Linked DNA regions of Schizosaccharomyces pombe. The gene in region 2 interacts genetically with the main gene of each other region. Each region holds a gene or a part of one and is shown on either strand. Other genes may lie near its edges. The genes, in order: SPOM_SPBPB2B2.18 and erv46.

The links.
Region 1: mutations in erv46 (region 2) and SPOM_SPBPB2B2.18 together harm fitness more than expected from each alone (negative genetic interaction), as found in Schizosaccharomyces pombe (one large-scale study listed by BioGRID).

What each region holds. Positions count from the first base shown.
Region 1 is NC_003423.3:4,500,646-4,504,426, reverse strand, and holds SPOM_SPBPB2B2.18 (uncharacterized protein), read right to left. Parts: upstream 1,736-3,781; coding exon 1,702-1,735; intron 1,641-1,701; coding exon 1,570-1,640; intron 1,360-1,569; coding exon 1,141-1,359; intron 901-1,140; coding exon 763-900; downstream 1-762. Other genes in the region: SPOM_SPBPB2B2.19C (transmembrane helix domain-containing protein), read left to right, coding at 1-517; ftm7 (transmembrane helix domain-containing protein), read left to right, coding at 2,031-2,471.
Region 2 is NC_003424.3:211,081-215,233, forward strand, and holds erv46 (COPII-coated vesicle-associated protein Erv46), read right to left. Parts: upstream 2,444-4,153; 5' UTR 2,127-2,443; coding exon 954-2,126; 3' UTR 634-953; downstream 1-633.

The DNA.
Region 1 (3,781 bases), on a different chromosome or scaffold from region 2:
TCTTCGGACAAATTTTTATCGATTATTTGTGATTTACTGTGCATTGGGTTTCGGCATAACTAGAACTGTTCCTAAATATCTTATGATAAAAGGAATTAGTATTGTCATTGCTTTATGTTCTGTATACTGGATTTCTTTATATAAAGACGTATATGTAGTATCAGAGATTTTTGACATGATCCAGTATGAGGTATCTCCTGCAATTTGGGTGTATTCTATTTGTCATTTATTGAAACAATGCACGTCTGTAACAACTTACGAAAATGCTTCAAAAGCCAGATTTTTTAGAAGAATGCTAAATGCATTTATCTTTATATTCTGTGCATCTCCAATGTTGCATTACCTGTCGAATATTATATTTGGAAACTTTGATTACAGACTGTCGGTGATCATTGGTGATCTTTTCACTTTTATGGAGAAAATTGCTTTTCCATGTTACATAATGTTTCCCACCCATAATGAAGCACTTGCCTACAATCGAAATGTAGCTGAAGAGGCTCAAGAGAAAATGATTTGACAAAAACCATGGTTTACTTGATTCACCTTTAAAGGGGTTACCGGGATTATTTTATTTATTATTTGTTTATCAATGGATTAATATCCAGTTATTTTAATCTCACTTTTTTACACAGAAATTGTGTAGTAAGTTCATTCTTATTTAATATACCACCTATTTATTTTTTACAAATGAATATTTTTTTACTGGAACGTTTTAAATACACATAACCTTTGAGTCGATGTGAAATAATGTTTTGTTCAAACTTAAAAGTTGCGAATCTGACATATAGACAAAAAAAAAATAAAAAGAAAAAACTGGTTACCTTCATAAACATATTTTGCTAATTTATTGAATTTAATTATTTTCAACTTGCTTTCCCATTTTCCCAACAATTTTTTTATCTATAATATATATTTTACAAAATTAATATAGTACATCGCATGGTTTTCTTTAAAACGACATAAACGTATAATAATAAACGGGGATTCAAAGTAATAAATCGAATCCAAATCAACTTTCAAATACATCCATTTCATCTACTTTACCCTTATATTCCCCTTCATATCCCCAACAAAAAACAGGAATTTGCGAAAGTAGTAAATGGTAAAAGTGAATAAATAGAATCAAGGTTAAAAGCTTACTTGTATGCATAAGAAGATAACTCCCTCCTCTTTACTTTTGCTTAAAAACAGATTCTGAGATTCGGGACTAGCATCGGTAATATAAGTTTTTCTTTCATACTGTTGAGTACTAGCATCAGAACCCTTAATGGTAGGAAGATCATCATCATGACTACGCCTTTGTTCAATCGAGTAAACATTTGCTGGTTCGTGCCAGTCACACTGAGAACAACAAAGTACCTATTATTAAAAATGTTAGCAAGCGATCGCTAACAAGTTGAAAAGTAAACACCTCCAACTATTCCATGGAAAGCATGTAACAATGAAGATCAATGAATGGCTATTAGCTTAACAAACTTGTAAACTCAAAACAGACTAACAACGTTTGTCAGGCACTAAGAGCAATAATGGAACAGACTTCATATCAAACGCTTTCTTGAATGTTCTTACCTTATTCGTATAAACCGGAAGAACAGGCACAATGAGAACCGTTACGGTTTTCAACTGACGACATACTCGGACTAAAAACAAAAGAAAGAGCCAATTGCTTTCGAAACTACTGAACTTGTTTATTTCTCGTACCAGTCTTCTTTGAACTAAAAAAAAAAAAAAGCATTAGCAAAATGTGTTGTCAAACGGATAAAAAGAGAACAGGAAGAAGATTGCTGGAAACAATTTTAAAACAGCGAATAAAAAAAAAAGAAAAAATAATAATAATAATAAACAAAATACGAGTCGCTAATTTTTGAAACTAATCGCTTCCAACAACTGTTTCATTATAACTTCACCATTTTAATATTGTCCCCAAACAGCATGATTTAATTCTCTTTCACTAATTTCATACCACACAGGACACGTAAGTAAAACATCCTTATAATCGTCAGTGGATATCCACATATCTCGTAAATGTAATGGCATTGTTAAAAAAAATAAACACTCAAGTGAATAGAATTATGAAGAATTCGAGTCTAGTTCAAAATATTTGTTTTGACAGAGTCCCTCTATTTATACCAAGACTAAGCCTCACAGTGAAATATTGTCTAGCAGTAAAATTGCTGATTTATTTATTATATTGTTGGTACATTTACTCGGAAGTACCATCGGTTTCATCTAAATTCCGATCCTTTACATTTGGATGCGTCGTAGTATATCATAACAAATTTTTTCCTCGTTTCATTAGAACTCACTCCATTAACTCCATTAGAACGTTTTCTAAATTTCAAGTCATTATACTTTTCTCTATTGAGAAAGTCACTAGGTCAGAAAGCAAGAATCATTCTTACTCGAAAACCGATATTAGTGATCTGCACCAGGGCTATAATAATCCACCATCAAGATTCATATCACGATAACAATTCCATAGTATCTTGCTATATACGTGTAATGAGTATTCGATACTGGCTTGATTGCTATTTCTCCTTTGCTTGTAATCGTAAAATTGACTTGAAGATCTAAACCTTCTAATGCAATCATTGGAATTCTGCCTAACCTGATCAAATATGGCTTGATCGCCGTTATGTTAAAAGCAGAAGCTATGCCAATCAGTATGATTGTAACTTACAAAAAAATATAGCACAACGACATACAACATTATGGTACAATAAAGAGGACTTGATATATCAAGAACGAGGTTCAGTTTGTGCTCCGTTTATATTATTGTATTTCTATATATGACATTACTTGATGCAATCGCTTAAATATGTACTTTTGTGTAGTTATACTCGCAAGTACAGTAGCATTTTTAAAGTAGCGGTGATGTTGACGAATGGTTTGTTTCAAATCCATCCATTTCAATTTCAATTGTAAATTTCTCTTTTTCAATTATTAATCAAGTAAGTTGAAGTGTATCAGCACAATAAATTCTGACTATTACTACTCTTAAAATAAAACTCAAGCGAAACTAATTTTTAATAGCAAGTCATATTCTTAGTTTGATATGCTATCCGCTTTGGTTTTGCATTGTTATGACTTTGTATAACCTAATAAGGTGACGAAAAATCAGTTCGTTTATATTTTTGATGAGAAGAATTCACTATTATTACACAGAAAAACATTTACTTCTTATTAGATACCTTCAATATAATATATTTTTTAAATGTAATAGCGACGACACTACCCATAATTTACAATACATTGTATGGTAAACAACTGAGTAGTTGATACACCCGATTTTCATTGAGTCATACACTTTGCGCTTACTATCACTTTATTTGGCTAAATGCATAATTTACAAGCCATTCCAATATTTCGCGCACTTTTCGGACATAGTAATAAAAGCCGAGGTAGTTTCGGCGACTTGCAACATGTTTTTTTATCGTCAGCTCGGAAATAGATTTCCTGACAGAGAAAGAAGGATATAAAAATAAACATGATGGGGCAATAAATAAATATTTCACCATTTTTTATATATCATTAAGAACAATGAAGAAATATATCTCTGAAGTAAAAAATAGTTGGGAAAATATGTATGAAGATCCCGCAACACCATTTGATAATGAGAAACCAGACGAATAGATCATGAATCTTGTACAACTGGGGAAATTACATGAGAATGTATTAGATGCCGGTTGTGAACCAAATAGAAATGCTAGATATTTAGCCAGTCTTGGATATAAAGTCGTGGGTATTGATATTTCCGAAAGGGCTATTTCTAAAGCAATCG
Region 2 (4,153 bases):
ACTTTAAAAAAAAAACTCAATCGTTGGTTTTGGATTTCTTTTTTCGAGTTGAATTCGTTTGTTAAATCTTTAATAAACTCCACGATTCCATGCAGCTCTAATAACGACTATACTAAAACCGTTTTCACACGTAAATCGAAAGCTTTTCTAAAAGTGATTTATCCAAAGCAGCAAATTGTGGTTTGCTATTTTTCGAAACCGTTTCTATAGGATCACACCGTACAAAAGAGCGCTAATTGTAAATGTATGTATTTGGAAAAGGGAAATTGGTTTCCAATGGAAACGATCGGTTTTCCTTGTGGCTTCTAAGACGTATGATTGTCGGTCTCGGGGTTATGCTTATGGTAGAAGAGCGTGTATGGATATGACAACTCATACCATTCCGCTTGGCACGATCTTCCTTGGAGTGCACTAAAAAAAAACTAAAAAAATTTTGATCACTCGTACTACAAATAATACTTATTTTTATTAATACTTTAAGACAATTCAATTCATTTTAATTTCCTTTTTATTTAAAATGCTATAGAATCAAGACAATACTTTAGGTTCGGAAAGCGAATATATCTAATACTATATGTCCTTGTAAAATTGAATACACCAGATAGAAAGATCTTTATCTTTGTATGTTTAATTAGAAAGAAGACGAGTTTAACATTAAAAGAAATGAATTGAGATGTAGGGAAAGAAAGTGCGTGGTTCGTATGCTCTTCAATGTGAATATAGCGAGTGGTTGTTTGCTAAACGAGGCTAAAAGCAATTTGTGATTGATAAGCGAGTCATGAAATATCAAGTGGTATCAATTTGGAATAGTATAGGAAATAGAGTATCTAAAGTTACAAATCAGGCACTTGCCATGGAAACCGATGGTATTTACATTGATCGATAGGACCAAACAGAAGAAAAGAAAAGAACGAAAAACAAAACAAAACAAATTTAGTGCATAAACAATCTGATCAATTTTTCTTTAACTTTTGAACCTCATAATAGCCTCTATCAACAAACGAAGCAAGTGTAACGCAGCCCCCAAGCAAAGCTAAAACATTACTCAAAAATCCACCAAAGGTATTGCCACGTACTTGACGTTCAATAACACGCATAGGACTAATATCAAATTGAAACCATACACCAGGGATTCCGCCATGAAAGTTAACATGGGTAGGGACTTTTTCTTCACGACCGCCACGAATAGAACGTTCATGCTGTGTGACAGCATATTTGTTTGTGTCTATGGGAAGTGTGCTCTTAGACAAAGGCATGAATTGGTAGGAAACGCACTTAATAAAATATTCGTAGCGATAATCGGCAGTGCTTACCTTTTTCACTGTTCCATCTAAAGGATTGGAATAGTGGACAGACGCATCTAAAGGAGGGCCGAAACTAAGATGATGGATGGAGTGACTCATGTCATGCAAATCGAGTTCATTAATGTAGTCACGTGTATCATGAACATGCTGATTTCCGTTTTGAGTAGATCGTCCAGGAGCAATGTGGAAATTACCGGCCATTCGATTGACGGAGAGCTGACCAGCCAAGTTACAACCTTCGACCTTTTGAGCTTCATAAAGCTCCTTAAAGTTTTCATCTTTACACTGTTTAAAGGCATCAACGTCACCAATTCGCCAGTGTGCCTTACCGTACGCATCTCGAACGGCATCACAGGTATTGCAACAACCTGGGGTATCTTCAGGAGCAAAGTCGGCTGCCCCATAACAATCACCACATTCAGCGGCTCCGTCGTCAGAAATAGATTGTTGATTTCCAATATCCAAATCATCAACGCTTATAATTTCGCCCGAAGGGCTCAACCTCGTTTTAGAAACGGTATGGTGGATGTCACGCTGGAATTCACCACTGACATCCAAGACATCGACAGTAAGTATTTGACAAGGGATACGGGGGAAGGTGATGTTAAAATTGATTTCCATTCGATCGCCATGTGAGGGATTGACGATGATTTCATGGACTGCGATGACTCGCCTGTAATTGATCCATTCCATGAGAACAATAAAAATGACAATAAGTCCGGAAACGAGTGTTATAAGACCGCCACTAGCAGTTTTTATGCGAGCATCTTCGACAGTTTTTTGAAAGGCATCAAAACGCCTAAGGGGTGAACGGAATTGCATTTTTTGAAACTATCGGTCGATAGATACGTTTTTGTAACAATAATACAGAGGAAAAAAACGATTATATGGAGAAGCAGTTCTTTGAACCAACTTGAAAATACTTTTTTTGGATTAAAGGATTAGAAGGGCCCACCTCAGTGGTTCCAACTATGCACGGTTATGTTAGAGCTTTGTGAAATGCTGACCACCAAATCTTATATAAAATAATGTGCTTGAACTTGAAAAACGATCATTCCCAGAATGAAATATTTGGAAATTGTCGAAACAACTTGACTAAGGGGGCTTGAGGTAGTCGGGGAAAGTATACGTTGAGGGTCAACCCAAGCGCAGGACTAGAAGTAGGTTAATAGACAGAGGTGCAAAGAGGGATTGAATTAGTTTGACAGGGATTATGATTGTTTATTGAAAAATCAGATATATATGGGTTCAAATGGAATGTATTCTAAGGGAGCCTAAAAGGCGTTTCAGTTTTAACGTGGAGTTTAATGTAAACGCCGAGGAAAAAGTAGATCAATTAACTAAAAAAGAGAAGACAAATAGTAATTTGAAAGGAAAACTCAGTGTTATTAAGTACAACTCAGTGTGATTGAGTAAATATAGTTCAAGTATAAGTGCGTATACGTTCCAGGTATTATTGTCTTTAAACAAAATCTAAGTATTATTGACTAAAAAACAATCCAAGTACTATTTAGCAAGCACAATCCGAACTACCTATTGAGTTTACACAGTTTATTCAATAAGCGCTTATGCGATCTAAGCACTTTCGAATAAGCGCTTGTTGAATAAGCGGAATCCAAGCTTCTCTAATATAAACCTAAACCAAACACTATGGGATAAACGCAACGCTACTACAAATTTTTTTTTTTAGCATGTCTAATACGGATACCATCAATGTATGACTCAATTTCAAGCATCACCGTCGCCAACACTGTTTAACCAAATACCTTGTATACTAGCACCGCTGGTTTCGTTATGATGCGCAACTAACAAGAAAGATGTACAAGGATGCCTTGTAAATGGGTATTTGGGAGACACAGGATCCGGCAACTTGTGCGATTTGATGAGTTTCCCTTGATGTACATCAGTCATTATCCTATGTCTTTTCCCCATTTTTCGCCATCCTAAAAAAAGCTTAATTCATTATTTGGTCAGCAATCGCAGAAAAGACGCTCCAACACACTCGTGCGTATGGCTGTTCTCCATATTGGGCCAACCTTGTTTCGCTGACTTCTCATGGTGCACTATGTATGCCTAAGTAATTCACAACCATTCACAATACGAAGTGTAAGCACAGATCGGGTTTAGGAAAGGGTAATTGTAATCACATGAGTGCATATCCACACAAATGTCAGAGGAACCTCTCGTTACTCCTTTTCCTCCTCATTCTTTGCCTGCAAGGAGAGACCACCTTTTGCTCATTCCCATCATAACCCTTTCGTAAATGTACTAGTTGGAGGTTCCTCCACCTTTTTTATCGACCAACACTCTCTGCCCATTCGGCCATCCGATATCTACTCGACCGTCGCTTCCAATCTATCTATCCTCATGTACTGCACTTGGCGATCCAGTGGTATGGAATTTCGGAGCTTGATTGAACTTATGGCAATCATCATCAAATCATCAACAGAGAGCACCGAATATTTTTATCTAGGATAACCTGAAGTGGCCCCCAAAGAACCCAAACCCCCACAACCTTCACCTTCCTAAGTAGAGTCCTTCTTAGGTGTACATCCCAATAGAGGTTTTGCAAGGCAAGACACACAGCGCTTGTAAGGTTGGTTATGCTTGTATGTTTTGTTATACTGCACTTGCGCTTTTATTTCCACCGATGCTTTTGTAAACAATTGGACATCATAAGCAAAAGAGTTTTTTCTTTTAAGGGATAAATAATAAATTGAATGAATGGATCCATTCATTCAATTATTTTTTTCCCACTTGCATTTTCGTTGACTAATGGATTCACTGACAATTACTTGCTTGCTAATCAATTTCGGCGATTACACACTGCCTTATTTTCGCATTCCCCC